Cricetulus griseus: one gene and its partners. The protein of the gene in region 2 purifies or fractionates together with the protein of the main gene of each other region. This does not show direct contact. Links are inferred from orthologs where the notes say so. Each region holds a gene or a part of one and is shown on either strand. Other genes may lie near its edges.

What was found.
Region 1: the proteins of serine/threonine-protein phosphatase 2A 55 kDa regulatory subunit B delta isoform (region 2) and Sertad4 purify together in Homo sapiens (affinity purification with mass spectrometry; 3 studies listed by BioGRID and IntAct, counting the BioPlex papers as one, with this or other methods). This does not show direct contact. The link is inferred for Cricetulus griseus from reciprocal best matches to the Homo sapiens genes PPP2R2D and SERTAD4.
Region 3: the proteins of serine/threonine-protein phosphatase 2A 55 kDa regulatory subunit B delta isoform (region 2) and Ier5 purify together in Homo sapiens (affinity purification with mass spectrometry; 3 studies listed by BioGRID and IntAct, counting the BioPlex papers as one, with this or other methods). This does not show direct contact. The link is inferred for Cricetulus griseus from reciprocal best matches to the Homo sapiens genes PPP2R2D and IER5.
Region 4: the proteins of serine/threonine-protein phosphatase 2A 55 kDa regulatory subunit B delta isoform (region 2) and Ppp2r1b purify together in Homo sapiens (affinity purification with mass spectrometry; 4 studies listed by BioGRID and IntAct, counting the BioPlex papers as one, with this or other methods). This does not show direct contact. The link is inferred for Cricetulus griseus from reciprocal best matches to the Homo sapiens genes PPP2R2D and PPP2R1B.
Region 5: the proteins of serine/threonine-protein phosphatase 2A 55 kDa regulatory subunit B delta isoform (region 2) and Ecsit purify together in Homo sapiens (affinity purification with mass spectrometry; 3 studies listed by BioGRID and IntAct, counting the BioPlex papers as one, with this or other methods). This does not show direct contact. The link is inferred for Cricetulus griseus from reciprocal best matches to the Homo sapiens genes PPP2R2D and ECSIT.
Region 6: the proteins of serine/threonine-protein phosphatase 2A 55 kDa regulatory subunit B delta isoform (region 2) and Ppme1 purify together in Homo sapiens (affinity purification with mass spectrometry; 4 studies listed by BioGRID and IntAct, counting the BioPlex papers as one, with this or other methods). This does not show direct contact. The link is inferred for Cricetulus griseus from reciprocal best matches to the Homo sapiens genes PPP2R2D and PPME1.

What each region holds. Positions count from the first base shown.
Region 1 is NC_048598.1:2,353,527-2,357,579, reverse strand, and holds the start of Sertad4 (SERTA domain-containing protein 4), read right to left. Parts: upstream 2,801-4,053; coding exon 2,626-2,800; intron 1,475-2,625; coding exon 1,359-1,474; intron 1-1,358.
Region 2 is NC_048596.1:62,097,709-62,100,419, reverse strand, and holds the end of serine/threonine-protein phosphatase 2A 55 kDa regulatory subunit B delta isoform, read left to right. Parts: intron 1-1,691; coding exon 1,692-1,971; 3' UTR 1,972-2,211; downstream 2,212-2,711. UniProt on the Homo sapiens protein: Substrate-recognition subunit of protein phosphatase 2A (PP2A) that plays a key role in cell cycle by controlling mitosis entry and exit. Involved in chromosome clustering during late mitosis by mediating dephosphorylation of MKI67.
Region 3 is NC_048598.1:36,655,457-36,659,640, reverse strand, and holds Ier5 (immediate early response gene 5 protein), read right to left. Parts: upstream 2,801-4,184; 5' UTR 2,108-2,800; coding exon 1,187-2,107; 3' UTR 141-1,186; downstream 1-140. UniProt on the Homo sapiens protein: Plays a role as a transcription factor. Mediates positive transcriptional regulation of several chaperone genes during the heat shock response in a HSF1-dependent manner. Mediates negative transcriptional regulation of CDC25B expression.
Region 4 is NC_048597.1:162,627,407-162,631,425, reverse strand, and holds the start of Ppp2r1b (serine/threonine-protein phosphatase 2A 65 kDa regulatory subunit A beta isoform), read right to left. Parts: upstream 2,801-4,019; 5' UTR 2,756-2,800; coding exon 2,642-2,755; intron 1,885-2,641; coding exon 1,794-1,884; intron 1,457-1,793; coding exon 1,356-1,456; intron 1-1,355. UniProt on the Homo sapiens protein: The PR65 subunit of protein phosphatase 2A serves as a scaffolding molecule to coordinate the assembly of the catalytic subunit and a variable regulatory B subunit.
Region 5 is NC_048597.1:134,975,358-134,978,857, reverse strand, and holds part of Ecsit (evolutionarily conserved signaling intermediate in Toll pathway, mitochondrial), read left to right. Parts: intron 1-2,394; 5' UTR 2,395-2,418; coding exon 2,419-2,514; intron 2,515-3,432; coding exon 3,433-3,500.
Region 6 is NC_048596.1:99,195,970-99,199,469, reverse strand, and holds part of Ppme1 (protein phosphatase methylesterase 1), read right to left. Parts: intron 1,828-3,500; coding exon 1,698-1,827; intron 743-1,697; coding exon 698-742; intron 1-697. UniProt on the Homo sapiens protein: Demethylates proteins that have been reversibly carboxymethylated. Demethylates PPP2CB (in vitro) and PPP2CA. Binding to PPP2CA displaces the manganese ion and inactivates the enzyme.

The DNA of each region.
Region 1 (4,053 bases), on a different chromosome or scaffold from region 2:
TGCTATTATTGTTAACATTTTTTTGTGTGTGTGAAAAAAAAAAAAGCAGCAAACATGTCCTTGCCTATGTAGCCTAGGCGGCCTGGGAACTCACAACGAAGCCCAGGTAGACTTTGAACTTTCTCCAGAGCTGACACATCTCACTAGCAACTGGAAAGTGGACACAGATGCAGCACCCACAGGAACTACAGATACAAACATGGGTGCCTCCTGACAAACAGGCAAAAGCAACTGCTAAAGCCTGGAGAGGGGTGGGCAAGGGGAGGCAGCCGGCGGGGTGGGGACAGAGAGGTGGAAGAAGCTGAGCTGGAGGCACAGTTCTGGAGGGGAGGCAACCACAGAGGAAAACGAACCTAAGCTTAGACACGCACCCGGTCCTTCACCTCATGCACTTGTATTTCCTTATTTTGTGTGGAAAGAAAAACAGCTATCTTTGGTCCTTCCTTGGGAATTAATTCTGGATTTTAACAAACTTGACATATGTCACAACGTATCACAAACAGCTCTATGTACGTATCCAAGGGACAATATATTGACCCCCCCCCAGGAAAACTCCTGAACAACCACCTCAACCAGCACACAGAAGTAGCCTTGTGGGCAGAGCTCAGACCAGAGTCAGGAAAGCCAAGTGCATCTCCCAACAGGTGACATCAAAGAGCAGCCCTGGGCCTCAGTGCAGCCCCAGAGTATTAAATTATCCACAAAAAGATGTGTTCTTCCGTACATACTGTGGTTATTTCCAGGCAGAGAATCTCTGTCTGGTTCTTCAAGTACTTGTGAAAAGTAACACAGGCCCTGCCCTAGTCAGGGTTATTATTGCTGTGATGAAATGCATAACCAAAGCAACTTGGGAAGGAAAGGGTTTATTTGGTTTCCACTTCCACACTGTAGGCCATCACCAAAGTACATCAGGACAGGAACTCAAGACAGGGCAGGAACCTGGAGGCAGGAGCTGATGCAGAGACCATGGAGGAGAGCTGTTTACTGGCTTGCTCAGCCTGCTTTCTTATAGAACCCAGGACCACCATTCCAAGAATGGCACCACCCACAATGGACTGGGCCTCCCCCACCAATCACTAACTAAGAAAATGCCCTACAGGCTTGCCCACAGCCTGATCTTACGGAGGCATTTTCTCAATGGAGCTTCCCTCCTCTCAGATGACTTTAGCTTGTGACAAATTGACTTAGTGCTATCCAGTACAGGTTCCCCCCACCAAAGTGACAGTGATTCATGTAGTCCCATAAAGAAGTGGCTCTCTTCTGTTGCTTGGGTGGGACAATTTAATGTCTGGAAATGGTTCAAGCCAGTGCCACAAGACATTGTAACTGTTAATAAAGTAACTGCTGTTTAAACATACTTTACGGCTGCAGCTGCTGAGTGTTGGGTGAGAATCCTCCTCTTCTGTGTACTTCCTCTTGAAATATGTGACCTTGGATGTGCTTATAGGATTTGGAATTCCCCTGTAATGTGATCCTGCAGTAATAAATCAGATAGACAAATGACACGAAGCCTGCCAGCGGTTCTCCAAGCAAAATGCTTTCATTTCCTTTCCCTGGAGTGGATAACTTGGCTACATCCCTGACTGTATACGCAGTGATGAAAAACAAACATTTGTCTTCATAGTTGCAGCTACCAGCGGACTGAATCCTGTGAGTCTGGGAAGGTAAAGATTTCCAGGCCACATCAGAGGAAAATGTCACCCACCTTTCAGCATTTACTAAATGCCTGGGATCTTAACTCTCTGTACAGGCAAACAGCGGAATTCATGGATGGCGTTGGTGGTGGTGGTGGTGGTGGTGGTGGTGGTGGTGGTGGTGTGTTGTGTGTGTGTGTGTGTGTGTGTGTGTGTGTGAGAGAGAGAGAGAGAGAGAGAGAGAGAGAGAGAGAGAGAGAGAGAGAGAGAGAGAGAGACCCTGTCCAAAGCAATACCAGCATTGACTCAGACCCCACCTCACAGAGGTAGTAAATCATGGGTACGAATTGATTTCAGGGTTAGTAAACAAATGCATACATACATGGAGTTATAATAGCTTTTCTTTTAAGATACGAAGTTACATATGGAAGCTTAACATTTGGAGTGATTAAATGCTGTTTCACTCTGGTAGTGTTAACACGTCAACCATGAATACAGCAGGGCCTCCTTTGAGGACTTTAAAACCTTTTCAGAAACTAGACTTTCATGAAGCTTTCATTTCAGTTTCTTTTTAAAAGGAAAAAAAAAAACTATCGCTTTATAAACACTCAAAGGAACTTATGTGAGACTATTAGAATTAAAGCCCAGAAGAATATATTTCTATTTTCTTATCAACTGTGTGCTTCATGAAGAAGAGCAGCTTGAAGCTGTGGTAAGGGTGCAGACTTCTTTATGCCTGGTGGGGCAGAAGCTCTGCTTGTGGGCCCTGTGATGTGTACATCCCCGAGGACCATTCACTTCCCAAGGACACAAAGCCTGAATCCAAACTTTCAGTATCTGGTTCAGACCCTTAAAAAACAAACAAAAAACCAAAAACCCACTGCTCCAGGATGTCCACAGCAGATGGACTGTAGAGCAAGTTAAGTAGGATTTCCCAAGGAGCCCAGCCTGACTGAACACCACCTCCTAAGGAGAAGGCCAAAGGCAATACCTGCCAGTTGAGGGCTGGCTCCTCGGTCTCCCTGCAAAGGAAGCTGTGCTGGCCCTGGGGGGCTCACACCTCTGTAGCTGTCAGCCTCCCATAGCGTTTGGTACCCAGCAATTTCAGCAGCTCCTTCTGAGACAATGGGCTCGCAGAATCTATTCATGGACAGAACCAGCGTCATCTCTGACAGCCTTAGACCTGGAAAAGAAGGGGTGGGTGAGTTGGAGAGATATACAGCCTGGGTTAGGAGCCAGCCTGAGGATGATGGTCTCTGGTACTTGGGAAGGCTTTCAGTTCCTCTCCTTTCCCTTCATACCAAACCGTCAGACTACCTTTCCCAGGACACCTCAGCAAACTCTTGCTGCTCTCAGCTTAGCTACTGCAAATGGCAGCCTGCATCTCAGGGCGGATCTTTAGAGCCCACTCTTATTGTTCTCGGATCCGCTCAGCCCCTCTCAGACAGCTGCTCTGTATCCTAAATACATTTTCCTCCCGATCTTACGAACGCACCTCTAAGAGGAAGGGCTAGAAGCCCTGTGCTTCCCTTCTATTAATAAGGTGAAATCAATTTTCTATTCAAGCCTCTAGGAGTCCCCTTTGATAAAATCTGCTGTCAATGGGGGAGGGGGACAGGGGCAGGACAGAAGTCCTAGGGTCCTTCCAGCACTTGTCTCTCCTCCCAGTTCCTCGGCCACACTCTCTCCTCCCGGGGTGAAGCAGGCAGACACTCGGCAGTTGTTTCCACAGCCCTTGTCGGCCTGAACTGGGTCTGCCTCCAGTCACAACACTGTGAGATGAAGACAGAAAATTGGCTCCCGTTTCCAGCCGTGAGTTGCAGCCCCACAGGAGCCAAGCCCAACACTAACCAGGCAGCAGAATATTAAACAGGAGCCAGGGCTCTGGGCAGAGGCAGCCAGCAACTCTTTAAACTGTAAAGCCAGATACCAGGCAGGAACTTTCCAAGAGTCAACACATTGCCGTCTGCCCTCCTCTCTGGTTCCCACCCAGACCTTAGGACGCTGGGAGCCAGCCTGGCCTCAGAAGCTCTGCTTGGCCTCCCAGACTCTGACCCTGTGTAATCCAGGCTATGAGGCCACCTCCATGGGGCTCAGTGGTGACCCTCAGAATAGGGTCAAGAGTATGTTCCAGGGAGAAAGGGAGTCTGGGGCCAGGGAGCAGACCCAGCAACTCCGATTCCTGGGTCCTTTCAGACAGGAGTTCTCAACCCTCCTAACTCTGCAACCCTTTAACCAGGTCTTCATGCTGGGGTGACCGCCCCAACCATAAAATTATCTCATCACTACTTGGTAACTGTAATTTTGCTACTGTTATGAATTACATTGTCAGTATCTGTCCTCTGAAGGTCTTAGGTGACCCCTGTGAAAGACTGACTACCAAAGGGGTCATTACCCAAAGGCTGAGAATCACTGCTGT
Region 2 (2,711 bases):
TGTAGAAGTGAATTGCAGAGGACTCTAACAGTGAGTCCTCTTCTGCAAACTTAGTCCTGCACATTCATTTCAGGTGCTATCTCGAGAGTGTACCAAACCATGATTCTCATCTCCAGCCCCTCTGGTACTATGTATCCCTGTGTTTAAACAATAGGTTTGAATGAACAGGAATAGCTATGTATAGGATTCTTCTGAGTTTGCTTGGTGTTGAGTTTGGGACAAGGTTAACCATACTGCTAAAATATTTACAGGCAGCTAGGAAGAGCCCTGAGCAATGTAGTAACTTGAAGGACTTAGGCATTGTAAAGACCACTAGCCATGTAGGAATAAGAAAGCAAGACATAGAGGTCTGGATAGGAGTAGGAATGCTTGGAGTTTTCCAAGGAGAGGATAGATGCCATTGGTTGATTTTTCACTTGCCAGGAGAGTCAGAGGGCACTGTGGAATGTACTGGGTTTCTTTGTTTTGTTTGTTTTGAAACAGCATTATGTATTGTGTAGCCCAGGCTGGCCTCTAACTCTCTGTATGAGTAAACATGTTGGCACAAAGCTGTATTCCATGCACTTACAGGAAAATCAGGAGTTTGTGGTCATCTGCTACACAGCAAGTTTGAGACCAGCTTGAGCTACATCTTGTCTGTAAAAACATAAAAAAAATAGGATTGGGGGGGGAATCCTCACTGTATGGCAGCTGCTTATAACCCCAACAGTGGAAAATAATTCCCAACACTGGGACAGCAGACATGGGATCTCAGGGGCAAGCTGGACAGCTTGATTTGTTGGAATCAGAACAGTCTGATTCAGTGAGAAACCCTGCCTCGGTATGTAAAGTGGAGAGCAATTAAGGGAGAAACTTGTTCAGCCTCAGGCCTACGTGCATACATGGGCACACGTTTACTTAAATCAGCTTGCAAACCAAATACTCACTCTGACTCTTGCTTCAGCTGTCTAGGTGGTAAGATTATAGATGTGCACTATCCACTGTACCTAGCTTTAAAAGAAACTTAGAAATTAAATTAGTCACATTATTTGATAACTGAGTTAACATCCATTAGGAAATGTGACTGACATGATCAGTTTTGACTGTAATTGTTGATGAGATAGGTCGTCAGGCTTATGGTAACTATCAGTTCGAAAATAAGAAAGATAGGGTTTTGGGGGATGGGGGATTTTTTGGGGGGGGTTGTTTGTTTGTTTTTTGCATAGACCTTGGTGTCCTGGAACTCACTATGTAGACCAGGCTGGCCTCAACCTGAGAGAGATGTCTGCCTCTGCCTCCCAAATGCTGAGACTAAAAGTGACTTGGACAAAGTTAATTTCCTTCCTCCTCCCTTTCCTATCCCTACCCTGCTCTTCCCCTCTCTGTCTCTCCTCTTTCCTCCCCTTCTGTACATTAATTAGGAGAGATGGAGGAGTTCTATCCCCAGCCCCCATTTCAGACAGCTCACTTCCTCCTGTGCGAACCACTGCTAGGGATCTGACACTCTTCTGGCCTTTATAAGAATGTTTTTAAAATGATGGGTCTGTGACTTTCTCTTGGACATGAAAATATAGGGGGTTCACTGGAGAATCTGCACTGTTTCTTCCTGGTAGTGTAGAAATTGGGCCTCGGGAGGGTCTGCACTTTATGCCATTGCCCTGGGTTCTTCTTGCTCTGCTGGGTATTCAGTGTTCCCTCTCTCTCTTGAACAGTGCCATTATGACGGGCTCCTACAACAACTTCTTTAGAATGTTTGATAGAAACACTCGGAGAGATGTTACGCTGGAAGCCTCAAGAGAGAACAGCAAACCCCGAGCCTGCCTGAAGCCCCGGAAAGTATGTACAGGGGGTAAGAGAAAGAAGGACGAGATTAGCGTGGACAGTTTGGACTTCAATAAGAAGATCCTTCACACAGCCTGGCACCCCATGGAGAGCATTATTGCTGTAGCTGCCACCAATAACTTGTATATATTCCAGGACAAAATTAATTAAGGAAACTGACTGGAGGACCAAGTGTTGTCTTGCATAGTTAAGCCGGTTGTTTTCCCGTCAAAGAAATGGCATTGTCCTCTCCATTGAGAATAGTGACGCACTTCCACTTCCCTCATAGACACAGGAGAAGAAGGGGTCTCAGCTGGAGTCTTGGGAGAGATGAATGCTGCTGCTGAAGGGAAAACCTACTCGAAGCTGAATTGGTGGACTTTGTTCAATAAAGGCCGTTACTCAAATGTATTTATTTAAGTCTGAGCCTTCCTTTCCAATTTATAGACCAAAAAATTAACATCCAAGAGGAAAAAAAAATCATCACATCTCTCTCCAGCTCTTCCTTCTATCTCTGCCATCCATCCCTGGGCTTTAACCTGGACATGGTGTGGCCACCACCCACGGTCCTCTCTGGAGGACCTTGGAGCCCCCCAGTGGGCTGCAACACCACTGGTGCAAGGATACGCCCGAGCAGGCTCAGGCAGCTTTACTCACCCACTGTACCTGCCATCACACCTTCTGTGGAGCTACTTAATAAACACAACACACTGTGAAGTGTTTTTAAACCCAAATGCCATTGCAGTCTTTATTTGTTTCAGTTGCACATAATGAAATTATTCAGAATATTGCACTTAACAAATTGAGAATTTTTTGCCTTTGGCAGAATGGTTGAGCTTGTGCACAACTTCAGATTCTAAATGTAACTATACAAAATTGCCACTTGGTTTCTGTAGAAACTTCATCTTGGG
Region 3 (4,184 bases), on a different chromosome or scaffold from region 2:
TTGATACTTAAGACAACCAACAATGTCCCTAGTCTGTCAATGACTGACTCTTAAGAACCACACCTTCCATTTCCCAGACTGACTGCCCCTCCCCCCACTTTGTTGAAAACCCAGACAGGTGATTACATACAAGCAGGCAATGGAGTTGCTTCAAAATATTTAATACGTGTTAGACACGTAAAGTTACATTTTTATACAAAAATCAATACAGAGGAGGAGAAAATACTGTACAAAAACCTTATCAGCTCCCCCAACCTTTATACAACAAAGACTGGAGTCACCGTATCTACAAAACCATAAGGTCCTTCCACTTAGAGCTCGTCTGTAAACTTTGTTTCATTAAACACTTTTTAAAAGCACTGTGTAGTAAGTTCTGAGCTAGAGCTTTTAAAAATATATCTTTTCTCTATAAACTCCGTATTTCCAAGCTTGAACTCTTCTGTGAAGTTCACCAAGCTTTTTTATCCCCTTTGAGGAATTGAAGGTCCCTTAATGTTCTGCTGTCCCAGAGTAATCACAGGGTAGAAGCGCTTCTTCCGTGCCAGAGAAAGGTAGGGAGGGAGAAAAATAATACAAGTCTCTACTCCAGGCGAACTCCCTCTCGTCTGAGGAAATCCTGTGAGGAAACGCCACTCGGCGCGCCGATGAGGTTCTAGCTTTCATGAGAGTGTGTAAAGTCCCTCTCTCCCCCAAGATCAAATGGGGAACTCCCCTGCCTCGAGCCATTCAGCAGCTTCCTTTTCTGTGCTGCTGGCAGAGGAAAGTCCCTGTCTGCGCCCCCAAAAGTCTCAAGCCCCGGGGAAGGGGTGGTGCATTCCAGAACCACAGAACAGTCTCAACAACACAAGACAAACTTACACACGGACACACACACACACACACACACACACACACACACACACACACACACACACACACACACACACAGTCACACACAGACACAAAATTTAACGATCGATCGTCCTCTTCCGATAAGCCTCCAACTCTAGGTCTCTCTGCGTGAGACTCGAGAGCCACGGCCCAGCCGGGCTGCCCCGTTCGGGGCGATGTGCTGCCCGGCAGCAACCAGTCTCCCCCTACGCGCCCAGCGCCTACGGTCTCGGCTCGTCCTCGGGGCCGGGAAAGGCCACGGCCGAACTTCGGGGACGCCCGCTGCTCAAGCTCCAGCCGCTCGGGCCCCGGAGACTCAGAAGGCCACGATGGCTGTGCTCCAGGGGCTCATGTCTCTCAGCACCGGCTTGTCGCAGCAGATCTGCCCAGGCTCGGCGGCTTCCGGGCCGCTCTCCTCCGCCTCCTCTTCCTCCCGGCCGCCCGCAGGGCTTTTCCGTAGGAGTCCCGAGAAGCTAGAGCCGAAGATGCTGATGAGGTTTGCCACGTTCCCGGTCTCCATCTCCTCGTCCGTGTCCGTGTCCTCCTCGCCGGTGCTCGGCTGCTCTTCCGAGTTCCGGCGCGGCTTCTTGAGAGGGGTCGAGCCGGGCGCCGGGCAGCCAGCGCGGCCACCACCCACTCCCGCTGCGCCGCGCTTCCTGGGACACGGGGCGGGTGGCGCGGGGGAACCGTCCTCGGCTGGCTGCTCCTCCCGGGCCGGGGGACAGCCGCACGGGCGGCGCACTGCCCGGGGCCCCTCGGGGCACGTGTCCGGGCCGCCTCCAGAAGCCATCGCGCGCGGACGCTCCACGCGGCCCCAAGCAGCTGCCGCCGAGTCTGCCTCTCGGCCCGGGAGAGCGTCCCCAGCTCCGGCCACGGCGGCCACCGGCTCCGAGCTTCCCGTTCCCGGCGTGTGGCACACCGAAGGGCGCTGAGGCTGCGGCTCGGGCTCCGGCCAGGCGGCGCGGGCGGACGGCGGAGGCGGCTCTCCCCAACCGGAGGGTGGCCCGGCCACCGGCTCTCCGGGCTGCTGAGGCGGCGGCACCGTCGGGATACCCGTAGGGCCGGCCAGGTAGAGGCCAGGGCACGGGTCACTCAGGTAGACCTGGCGGGCGCTGCGCAGCACCAACGACACCAAGAGGTTCTTGTGTAGCTTGATGCCGCCGCGCTGGACCCGCGAGTTGTAGATCTTGCCGAGGGAGATGCTGACGATGCGGTGAGCCTCCAGCTTGAACTCCATCCTGCCTCCGCTTCTCGAGAGTGGCGCCTAGACGATGGGGTGAACGCCGAAGCTGCGAGAGGAGAGGGAGGCGGAAACAGGATCGCCTCTGGGGTGCACCCTCGGCGGCTGAAAGCTCGGTGGAGAAAAGACCCGGTGATGCGTAGCCCCCTCCGCCTCTTCGCCGCAGACAACAAACCTGATCTGCGTTGGTCGCTAAACTGAGCGGAACGAGCCCCACACAGCGCCTTATATAGACTCCTCGAACGCCAATCACAAAGCGCCGCCAACCGTTCTGGGCGGGCCGATGTGCCTCGTGCGCCGTCCCCAGCCAATCGGAGGCGGAGGAGGGGCGCCAGGGCCGGTTCAAACGTTAGTCCCGCGGAGCAAGCTCTTAAAGAGGGCGATCGCAGGCGGCCCAGGGACCAAGTGCGGTGGGATTTGGGTCCGAGGTAACGGTGAAGGTGAGTGAGGCCCACAGAACTGTCTGTCGTCACAAATTCCGATTTGTGAGCTGTCTTAGCCAACCTCACTAGAAGCGGACTATTGGAACTTTCGTTGGTTTGGAGTGCTGGAATCTACTACATAGTAAAGTTCGGCTCCTTTCGTGCGCAGTTTCCAGCTGCTCACACCATTTCTTGGCAGGAATAGAAGCTATGGCAATACAAAGCAGGGACAATCCTGAACGACAAACAGTACGAGGTATTTGAGATATTATTTTGGAGTCAGATCCTTTCCCATTAGCGTCACACTTTCAGCATCTGACCACAAGCAAAAGGGGAGGTTCTAGAAATTCCCAAGCTTCTGGCCTATCAAGGAACAGTGTTCAAGTACAAAGTCATTGTTTCTCACCTAAAGCTGGCATCTTTCACTTAGTTCCCTAAATTCTCGGTTGTCACACAGATTAAATGGAATAAATAGGAGGTGTTACCTACTTCTCCGAAGTGTTTGCTTGTTTGGTTGTTTTTATTTGTTGTTTGTTTATTAACACAGTAACTGAACTAATCCACACTTGGGGAAATCTAGTAAGTTCTAAAAATACAAATAGAGAAGTTCTGGGTTCCCATAATAATGTTGTAAATTTGTTTTATGTCAAGCTAATAGTATGGGGAAAGGGTTCCATCCACTGAGTCTTAAAAGTACCTAGCAAAGGGGCCACAAGATTGTATTAGTGCCTTCTGACTTTGTAAATTACCTCATAGTCTTTTAGTTTCAATTCTAAAAAGGAGAAATCATGTATACACCCACTTTATTATACAAAAGATGCATGACAACTCTTAGACACCATAAAATTAAGTGCCACTTTCATGGAGCCTGTGTGCAAAGTTGACCTAATCCCACAGTAGGGTTTCTCCAAACAATGTGTTTATGTAGAAAAAAATACTAGTGAGAGTAAGGCTTGACCACAGGAGAGCAGCTTAGTGAGGTTCTGATAAGAGCCTGCTGCATTACAAATGACCTGTTCAGGGGAACACAGAGAATGTACCAGGTAATAGTGCATCTCATGGGTACATTTACTGATGCCACATAATAAGTGGTACTTAAGACAACTGCACAGAGATGTCCCATGCTCCTGTCTAACACAGTTTGCTTAAATTTATTGCCAACTGACAATCCATCTTGAGTGGACTCAGTGACTTGGCTAGTGACCATGGACAGGTGCAGGACCTGGGTCTTTCAAAGCTTTCTTTCTTTCTTTCTTTCTTTTCTTTCTTTCTTTCTTTCTTTTCTTTCTTCCTTTCTTATGAGTGCTCTGTCTTCTCCTATGTCTGCAGGACAGAAGAGGGCACCAGATCCCATTCTAGATGATTCTGAGTCACCATGTGGTTGGTGGGAATTGAACTCAGGACCTCTAGAAGAGCAACCAGTGCTCTTAATGACTGAACCATCTCTCCAGCCCCAAAGCTTTATTTATTTTAATCAGAATTTCTTTTAAATATTTATTTATTTTTGGTTTTTCGAAACAGGATTTCTCTGTGTAGTTCTGGCTGTCCTGGAACTAGCTGGCTTTCCCCATGCTGGGACTAAAGGTGTGCAATACCACACCCACCGAACATCATTCTGATTTTATTTTTAAAAAGTCAAAGGACATCAATCC
Region 4 (4,019 bases), on a different chromosome or scaffold from region 2:
GCACATGAGTGTGTTTTTCATATGGATTGGTATAGATGCAGAGTCTACAGGACAAACTGCTCAGATGTGAGGGAGGATGAAGGACTTAAGAATGCCTTCTAGTTCTGGACGGCAGCTCACTGAACTAGAACATACCCAGCATGCAAAGGCCCTGGCTTCAATATCTAGCACCACTAAAAACAACAGCTATCTTCTAGGTTGTGCTGGTATAACTGGATAGCTGGAGACAGCCCATCTATAACTCTGTTGATTTCTACTAGTCTCCACTTTATCTGTTACCCATCTATGTCTGGAGTTCTACAGAATGGTTCATAGTAGAACTAGGAATCATGGGAGCCAGCATCATATATTCAATATTTAAAGCCCTAAAACAGATGGTCCTGCCTTGTCCAGCTGGTCAGTTTCTAGTCACCCTTTAAGGCTTAGTTCATCTGCATAGTGGGGCATACCTTTAATCTCAGTACTCCAGAAGCAGAGGCAGGAGGATCTCTGAGTTCAAAGTCAGCCTGGTCTACATACAGTTTCAATCCAGGAAAGACTACAATAGCAAAACCTTGTCTCAAAAATACAAACAAACAAACAAAAAAAATTAAGTCCCTTCCCTCCCCATCTCTGACAAGCCTACAGAGGCAGAAACAAGTTCTTATATCCAGCTGATAAAAACAAGAGCTGAGCTAAAGTGCCTACATTATTCATTCACTCAACATTATTACCACCTGCCCATAAAAAGACTTACATAAAAAATGTTGCAGTGTAGCAGATGCAGAAATCCAAAACTAACCATTAGGCCAAGCTCCTGGAGTATAATCAAAGCCATAATATGAACAAAGGGAGTCAAGACCATGATGGGGAAGCCCATAGAATCAACTGCTCTGAGCTAGTGAGAGATCACTGATTCTGATCTAACAAATGGGGGATCTGCATAAGACCCAACTAGACCACCTTAATATAGGTGGCAATGGTGTGACTGGGACAATATATGAGGCCACTGACAGTGGGTCCAAGACCTAACACTAATGCACAAACTGACTTAGTGGAGCCCATTCTATATGGAGAGATACCTTGCCCAGCCTAGACACAGGGTGTGTCGGGTGGAGAGGTACCTTGGTCCTACCTCAACAAGATGATGGGACAGACTTAGTAGACTTCCTAGGAGATACCTTACCCTCTCCAAGGAGAAGATGGGAGGTGGCGGGGAGAGGAGAGAAGGGAGGGGGAATGGGATTGGAATGTAAAAAATTAAATAAAAAAATACTATAAAAAAAAAAAAAATGCTGCAGTGTGCCTATCACCAGATAATAAATGTGGTTAATCCTACAGAGTTCCAGAAGGGTAGGCCATAGGTAAGTACTCACCAGCAGACAGTGGGCAAAGTCAGGACCTCCCACCAAACCAGTGAAATTTCCCAGCTGCTCAGCAAGAGCTAACAGCACCTCATCTTCATCATAAATTGTATCTGAAAATAACAGCAGTTGGTTAGCCCATAGAGACAAGTGCCACTAAGCTAGTACTTACACAGCTGCTGCAACTACAATTCTAAATAGTATTGTCTTCCTTGTCTAAATCAGAAGTCTTCATGAATGTTTCACAGAATTACTAAGAAATTAATATCCCATGTCAACTACCTTCCCATTAGTTACATGCCTTATGTTTGAGTATGTCTGGCTTAACATTTTTTTCTATACACATTGCAGAAGGCACCTGCTCCTTCTAGTACTTATTGCTACACTACGTAACAAACTAAAAACAGTTTGAAAGCCAATGGAAAATGGCTTTCTTTAAAGGACACATACCTGTAAGGAAAGGCAGCAGTTCAGTTCGAGTCCTTTCCACTCCGAGTGCTAAAGCAATAGTAGATAACTTCTTGATACTGTTGAGACGGAGCTTCAAAAATAAAGTGGGAAGAAGAACAAAGCAAAGAGATGGTTGCAATTCAGGTCAAAAGAAGCAAATAGGTGAAACACTGGTATACAGTATATAACGAGGATGAGTCTTTCACTTAGATCTTATTCCTAAAATAACTCAAGGACCGTTTAAACACGTCATTAGCCAGAGGCTATCCTAGGGAGAACACTGAAGGGCCGGGAAAGAAATGAATGAATGAAAACACGCGGGCAGTGAGAGATTCTGAAAAGAGAGAACTCTGGACCGAAGGAAGCAGGTGAAACGGTTAAACACAACTCCTCCCTTTTCAGAGAAAAGTTCCATCACAACTGATGCACCACTCATCTGTGTTAATCAGCTGTGGCGCTCTTCCCACCCAACTAGCCAGGCCAGTTTGCCAGCAGAGACAGGCACTCCGCAGCGCTTCAAAGGCAGCCTGGTGCCCGGGCCGCTCCTCCGCTCCCGGGCGGCCCCGCAACCCACCAGCAACCCACCGGTGCTCGTCCACCGGAGGCGGGAACTGGCTTGGCTCCCCGCCCACTGCCGGAGCAGCCGGGTGCCACCACCCCAGAGGCTCGAGGTCGAGCTGCTGGGAGTCCAGGCGGACCACCACGGAGCCTCCGCCACCCCGTCCCCTACGAGCGCTGAATACAGCTCTGCCGTCCCCGGGGCCGCCCCCACGGCTGAGCCGGCCTTCCCGCTTCTCCACCATGTGCGCCTCCGCCCTCTCCTCGACTCCCCAGCCCCAGCCTAGTACCTGCACGTCCTCATTGCGGAGCTCGTCGATTAAAACCGCGATCGGGTAGAGCGAATCATCTCCATCTCCGCCGGCTGCACCCGGACCGGCCCCGGGCCCCGCTGCGCCCGCCATGTTCTTTCTCCTCTGGCTTGTCGCCGCCGTACGCCCCGCGCCCCGGCCACGCCCCGCGCCCCGGCCACGCCCCACGCCCCGGCCACGCCCCACGCCCGGGAAGGCGGGGCTAAATCCAATCGGCCGGCTCTGGGGAAGCAAAGGAGTCGAGTTTTTAGCCTGGGCGCAGAGGCTCCGTCCTGACCCCCATTGCTGAAACTGGAGGTCTGAACTCCAGAAGAAGGGCGGGCTGAGAATACCAATGGAACCCCTGCATCCTTTCCTCAGCCGAAAGAAACATGGGCAGGGATTCATCCTCTGCTCGCTGTGCTCTGAAGGAGAGGGGTCTGCCTGAGTGATGGGTGCCGAACCTCAGTAGAACTCCAGGCCAGAGACTGTACCCTAGGCCAGGAGGAAGAAACTTTAGCACCTCCCCCAGTTTCATGGTGGCCTGGAGCCACTGGGTCTGAGCCCTGATTTCCCCCTGGGCGAGAAGCCTCCACACAACCCCTCCAGCTCTTCCTCTGGCCTGTTTGCCAAAATCGTGGCTGGCTCCTCCTACTTAAGACAAATAATGAGTGCGGTGAGGGAAAATGAACAGTGCTGTCCAAACTCCCCAGTCAATATTTTTTCCACGCAAGTTGTTTAAAACATGCTCTCTTGTTTTTGTGTTTCTTTTCAGTGTGGTACTGGAATGGCGCCTTCTGTTGTATTGTCTTCCTTTTTTCACTGCTCTACAGCAAGAAGCCCAACCACCAAGCTTAACTATGCACAGTTTTAATCTCCCCGGGTTCGGTGGGGTGGAAGGACCGGCCTCCCTAGACCTCCAGAAGTCCTCCTAGAGGACCTCAAGAGGAGGTGGTCCTGGGCGTTGTTTCTTACAGAACTTAAAGGATTAAGTTTTCACTTGCCCTCTGTAATTGCACCAAGTAACTTGAATGCCCTGTCTTTTCATGTTTTAGACTAAGATGAAGCAGCTTAGATTGGTAGTTCTGTACGACCATCACAAGTTCTCAAATGACACTATTCTGTGCCTTAATGAAATTGTTAAGTTACTAATAAATGCAATTTAGGAGGTAAGGGTTTGTTTTTTGTTTTTGTTTTTAAAATATGGGACTCTTAGCAGGAAACAGTCTTTAGTAGTCAAAGCTCGAAAACCAACAGACTTCAGCAGTTTTGGTTTTTGTTTTCTTTTCTCAAAGTGGGTCTGTGAATGTATGCTTGAAGGCTTTCATTTTATTTTTATTTTGATAACTTTTGGATTCCCATAAGGCACCGGCTGGAC
Region 5 (3,500 bases), on a different chromosome or scaffold from region 2:
GTACATCCCTGAGTATGTATATACAGATGTGCCATGACACCAGCACAGAGGACAACTTGTAGAATTCAGGTCTCTCCTTCCACCATGTGGGTCCTGGGGATCAAACTCAGGTCCTTAGACTTGGCAGCAAGCATTTTTTACCCAGTGAACCATCTCACCAGTCCCATCTCTTTTTTCACCCTGGGTATTTGAGATAGAACTCAGGCACTTACCAACTGAGCTGTCTCGATGGCGGCTCTATTTCTTTCTCTTGCCTGAGTGCTACTACTGGAAGTTCTGGTGCAACACTGAGAAGTGGCCAGACTGCACACCCTTGTCTGGATTCTGAACTGTGGCAAAAGAATCTCTCATTGGGCATGGTGGCACATGTCTTTAATCCCAGATCTCAGGAGGCAGATCTCTTGAGTTCAAGGCCAGCTGTGGAGGGCGCAGCTTACAGACAGCACTAGAGAATGAAGAAACTGACACCTGTTTTCCATCCATAAGGCCATGAGTGGATGTGACTGCTATTCTGTAAAGCCAGCCCTCATCGAATCCCCAAGAATCCTGAGCATTCTCTGTCAATAGAGCCCATCCTCATGAAAGAGGTCGAGTGTGCTTTACAAAAGAGCCTGCTATTATGCTTATTCCCCCTAGACTTCTAAGTACTATTTCTCAGTCAATAGAACCCATCCTTTGCTGGGCAGTGGTGGCTCACACCTTTAATCCCAGTACTTGGCAGGCAGAGGCAGGTGGATCTCTGTGAGTTCTACAAAGCCAGTTCAAGGAAAGCCAGGGCTGCATAGAGAAACCCTGCCTCGAAAAACCAAAAAGAACCCATCCTGATGCTTATTACAAACCCTTCCTCCCTAGGCTCTTGTCCTGATCACTGTTCTCAGTCAGCAGAATCCATTCTTGTGGGAAAGGTCATAGGGGCTTTGCTACAGAGATGCACTTTGCAAGGCAGTTTCCATGTAGTCATGCCTAATGCTTTGTCAGGATAATTGTCACATGACATGCAAACTTTTTTTTCTAAAATTTTACTTTGTTTAAATGTGTAAGAAATAAACCACTTGACATTAGACTCCAGAAGTTTGGACCCAGCACCAGCTAAGTTGTGCTTAACCTCATCCAGATTGTCTCACCATTGATCATGACACTTACAGGGAACCCCACAGCCAGCCTGTTCTACATAGTGAGACCTTGTTTCAAACAAATAAAAAGTAAGAGTTTTCTGCATTGTCTGAAATAATGTAATTTGGGGTTTTTGTTCTATTAATATATTAAATAAATTTTCAGATATTAAACTACCCTTGCATTTTGGAGACAAATTCTCTTAGCTATGATGTAGAATCCTTTTTGTATGTTTGTAAATCCACTGCAAGAGAACTTTACAGCTATATTCAAGAGGCAATGATTTGTAGTTTTCTTAGTGTACCTGTGGGTTTTGGTATTAGTGTATCCAGGCCTCAGAGAACATGTTAGGAAGAGTTTTCATTATCCTTGCTACCATGGAAACTTTCTGGAGGTGGGTGTGTTGGTATACACCTGTAACCCCAGCACTCAGGTAGAAGCAAGAGGGTCAGTTTTAGATACATAGCAAGTATGAAGCCAGCCTGGGCTACAAGAAAACCTGCCTCAAAAAACAGGGAAAGAGCTGGGCGTTGGTGGTGCACGCCTTTAATCCCAGCACTTGGGAGGCAGAGGCAGGTGGATCTCTGTGAGTTCGAGGCCAGCCTGGTCTATACAGAGAAAGCCTGTCTTGGGGGAAAAAATGAAGAGTAACTTCCAGGTATGAGCCAGTGAGATGACTCGTTGTATAAAGGTACTTGCTGCCAAGCCTGAACAACTGAATTTAATTCTAAAACTCACATGGTAAAGAAAAACCAACTTCACGCTATCTCTTGACCTCCACAAAAGTGCATGTACAGTGGATGCATGAGGTAGGCACACATACACACAATAAATCAATAAATATAATTTTAAAAATTATCAGACTTGGGGCTGGAGAGATGGCTCAGAGGTTAAGAGCACTGGCTGCTCTTCCAGAGGACCTGGGTTCAGTTCTCAGCAACCATATGGTGGCTCACAACCGTCCGTAATGAGATCTGGTGCACTCTTCTGGTGTGCAGGCAAATATGCAGCCAGAATACCGTATATGTAATAAAAAATAAATTAAAAAAAATTGTCAGGCTTGGTGGCTCATACCTGTAATCTCAGCATTGGAGAGTGGAGTAGGAGTTTAAGGCCATCTTTGGCTGCAGAGTAAATCTGAAGCACGCCTGGGCTACATGATACTCTTATCTCAAAAACAACAAAATGAAACAAAAATAAACACTTGGGGCTTGGTAGACTAAGCTCTTCCATCTGAGCTGTATTGCCTGGCTCAATGATGTCTCAACTTCTCTTGACTAGGCTGGTGGCTGAATCTGCTGAGGCATGGGCTGGGTCCAGGCCAGCCTGCTGGTCCGAGGCCTGTCCAGGGGCTGGGGAAGCATCTGCAGTACTGCCCTCTCAAGAGCTGCCACCACTCAGGTAACCACAGGCTAGGCACTCATGACTGGAGGGGGAAGGCCTGTGCTTGACACTCACCTCTCAGGATCAGGCCATGGAAGTTAATGTGATCCTTGGCCTGTCTGTCCTGCTGATAGTCCTTGTTAGTTATTTTGCCATTGCCATACTGAAGTACAATGACCAAAAGCAACTTAAGGTCTCAGAGGGTGAGTCTGTAAAGACAGGGAAGGCATGGCAGCAGGTGGCCAGAGCAGGATGCTGAGGGCACCTCTCAAGCACACATAGGAAGGGGAGAGTGAACTGTAAATTGGTTGAAGACACAAATCCTCAAAGCTACCCCCAATGACCTACTTCCTCCAGGAAGGTGCCAATTCCCAAAGGTTCCATAATCCAAAAGCCCCTACTAGAGACCAAGTGATCAAATACATTGGGCTATTTCTCATTCATACCACAACAGTGTGTATACTTTTAGTTTGTGTATGTGTCACAGAGCCATATGTAATACCAAATGGCCGTAGAATATGATGTGTGGTTCAAGGTAGACTTAAAATCTCAATTCTCGGGCTGGAGAGATGGCTCAGAGGTTAAGAGCACCGACTGATCTTCCAGAGGTCCTGAGTTCAATTCCCAGCAACCACATGGTGTCTCACAACCATCCGTTATGAGATCTGGTTCCCTTTTCTGGTGTGCAGATATATATGGGAGCAGAATGTTGTATACATAATAAATAAATAAAATCTTAAAAAAAAAAAAATCTCAATTCTCCAGGCTTAGCCTTCTGGGGGTTGGGATTTCAGGTGTGTACCACCATGTGGCAGAGTACTTTGTCATAGTACCTAAGCTAGGGTTAGAAGCCACAGTGTCAGCGCTCCTCAGAGGCCCTGCATGATGTCCAGGGCACCTCTCCAGAAAAGCTAAGCAGCATTCATGCTCTCCCAGGTGTCCCTCCAGGCCCCACGAGGCCTCCACTGCAGTGCAGTTATACATAAGGATGACGTGTCGTTGGT
Region 6 (3,500 bases), about 37 Mb from region 2:
TTATATTATTAATGCATATGATTTGAACATAGAGACAAAAAAAAAAAAAAAAAATGGCTCCTGCTTCGTCCACTGCTGCACAGCCCTCACATTTGTTCACACAAGTATTGTGATGCCCAGGCCCACTATACTTGTAAACCCTGGAGGCTGGCATTGATGCTCTCATTTTATACATTAAGAGCATTCCAGCTGACACAGATTACTAGGAGAGCAGGGTCTAAATCTCACCCCCGAACTGAAGCCCCCTCTCCCTCCTCACCATGATGTCTTCTAAAGGACCACACTATCGGGTATTCACACAATTTCTCTTTTCTAGAAACTCTGAACATAAGAAAACACTAGAAAATTATGGCTGTTCGCTGTTCACTATGTTAGATGCCTATGTAATACTTAATAACTCTCAGGCGCATCACCTCATTTGAACTCTTCCATCCTGGAAACAGCTAGAGTAATAACTCATTTTTACGCGAGTGTGCGTGTGCGTGTGTGTGTGTGGGGGGCATCACTCTTCAGAAAGGGGAAGATACTTGCCCATAATCGACTGGTGGTTGGAAGAGGTGGCTGTCCAGTGGGGCGCAACTATAAGTTCAAACTCTCTCCACTGTACCTCACTATCTCAGAATATCAATCTTCATATAACTACCCACTTCCCTGCCCTCAGAAAAGGATCCATGGGCACAATTTCTGGATGACTTACCCTGCATCTGGCCTATGGTAAGATCTTTATCCAATCTATCAACACCTAGAACAAAACAGGAGAATCTGTGAGTAGCTCCTAGAAAAGGCCTTGGGAAATAGGTTTCACTGAGTAAATGCTGCCTCAGAGTTATAAACACGCTCAATCCAGACTGGCACATGTATATTCTCACCAGATGAAAATTTCAAGTTGAGATTTCTGGGTAATTATGGTTTTTCTTAGATTCATTATTTCATTTACGTATGTGAGTATTTGCCTGAATGTATACATGTGTACCACTTATGTACCTGGTGCCTGTAGAGGTCAGGAAAGGGTGTTGGATCCCCTAGAACTGGAGTTACAGATGGCTGTGAGCCACAATGTGGGTGGTGGGAACCAAATCTGGTTCTCTGTAAGAGTAACAAATATTCTTAACTCCAGCTCCAATCATGCTCATTTAAAGATGAAAACAAGATTTTACTGTCTCAATTCTCACAGTATTCAGAATGTTGTTACAACACTGTCTGTAGCTCTGGGTACAAAGGCTAGGTCAACACCATGCAGCACTGGAGGGTGTTTAAACCTCATTTCACATCTAGATGACAGTACTCACTCACACTTCTATGGACTAAACACAATTCATGGTGAAGCCCTAGCCCCCAGTGTATTTGACAATAGGGTCTACAAAAAGGCAATATGTGGTTATAAGGGTGGGGGTCTCTGACACAGTAAGATTAGTGTCCTTGCAAGATCCAGAAAGCTGTCTTGCTTTCTCCTAGCCATATAAAAGCACAGAGAGGTCTGCAAACCAGGAAGAGAACTCTAAGAACTTAACTCGACTCATGCTCTGATCTTATACTTTCAGCCCCCAGACTGTAAGAAATTAGATTTCAGTTCTTTAAGCCATCCAATTTATGGTATTTGATCATTCCAGCTAAACACACGTGTTTAGCACACACACACACACACACACACACACACACACACACACACACACACACACACACACACACTCACTTACCAGCCAAGAGCAGCAGTTTAGGAATAGGACAACTAAGAAAGAGATTGGATAATCCCCGAAACCAGCCATCCCAGTACTTTTCTGTTTTTGCCAGTTCAATTCTCCAGGTGTATGGATGGTCCTTCTTGGTCTGCAGGAATAAAAGCAAAGTGAGTCTTAGGGCAACCCCTGAGGAGCAGGGCAGAAAGCGTGTCTGTGGAAAGGAAGGAAGGAAGGAAGGAAGGAAGGAAGGAAGGAAGGAAGGAAGGAAGGAAGGAAGGAAGGAAGGAAGGAAGGGGACTTGCACTTCTCGAGGACCTTCCTACAGTGCTGCAGGCTGTCTTGACTTCTACTTTTGGATAATCTGATGGCTTCTTTTCTATTCCTATTTGTTTTCTTCTGGCTCACATGAGCCTCCTGCCTCAACCTCCCAACAGCAACAGGCAACATGTAAACATGAGCCTGGTGTGGCGGCATCTGCTTGTCATCCAAGTATTCTGGATCTGAAGCAGGAGAATTGCTAGTCTGAGACCAGCTTGGACTAAACATTATCTTACAAAAATCAAACCAACCAAACCCAAACCTCCCACAATGAGATACTATTTTATAGCCACCAGGATTCCCTCTAATAGGAATGAAAAGTGTTACAGCCTTCTGAAAACCATTTTCTCAGAATTCCCACAGTTCCCACTTCACCTAGCAATTCCCTGCTCATGTATACACCTCAGGAAAAAAAAAAATGTCCACATACAAGGCTGAAATGGATATTCACAGTAATATTATTTATAATGAACAGCTATAAAAATCTACATATTAATTGATGAATATATTAAAATGTGGCATATTCATACAATGGGATATTTTTCAGACATATAAAGAAAACACCGATGTATGATGTATGCAACAACACGGATGAACCTTAAAAAGTCTGTCATCCAGTAAAAGAAGCCAGGCACAAAAGATCATGCTATACAATTCCATCTATATGTAATGTTCAGATTAAGCAAATCTTCAGATTAGTGATTGTCTTGGCTAGGAGAAATGGGGAGTCACTGCTTATGGATGGTCATTGCTTAATAACTGCACTTGCCCCTTCAAGCACACTTCTGGAGTTTACAAAATCATACAATGGTGCTTATTTTAAAACACTGCCAAGAACAAAGAATAGGCATTAAAAATCAGGAGCATCTAAAAGACCTGCTTTAATTTTTTTTTTGTGTGACTATGAGTGAGTGGGTACCTGTACCAAGGGTACCTCTACAATAATAACTAGTGATGGTTAAGTGTGAAACAGCACATGAAAGACAAATGTAACTCACTGCCTTGATTCCAAAGCTACTGTTTGCTAATTTCCTTGGGCAGACCTCTTCATTGTGGGTGGACAGAGAGAGAGGTACTAGGGATGACCTAGGGCCTCAGCATGCTTGTGTCCCTTGAGTTACATGCCTGGCTCTTTTCACTTTCCTTGTTCTTGTAATTTTTAAGACCAGTTTCTCTGAATTGCTCAGCTCAAGCAGGCCTTGAATCTGTCATCCCTCTGCCTCATACTCCCAAGTCTAATTTATGAGTGAAGATTCTACTATGTTGTAATGAGAGGGAAATCCCTTACAATGTGTTGCAAGGCCCAAACAGATGAAAAATTATTTATATGCTTGTAAATTCTAACGTAGTATAAAGCACTATTCTGATCAGTGATCTCAAGGATGACAGGAAGATCCTCATTAAATAAAAAATACTTTAAAAGCCAGGCAGTGTTGGCACATGCCTTTAATCTCAACACTCAGGAGGCAGAGGCAGGTGGATCTCTGAGTTCAAGGCCAGCCT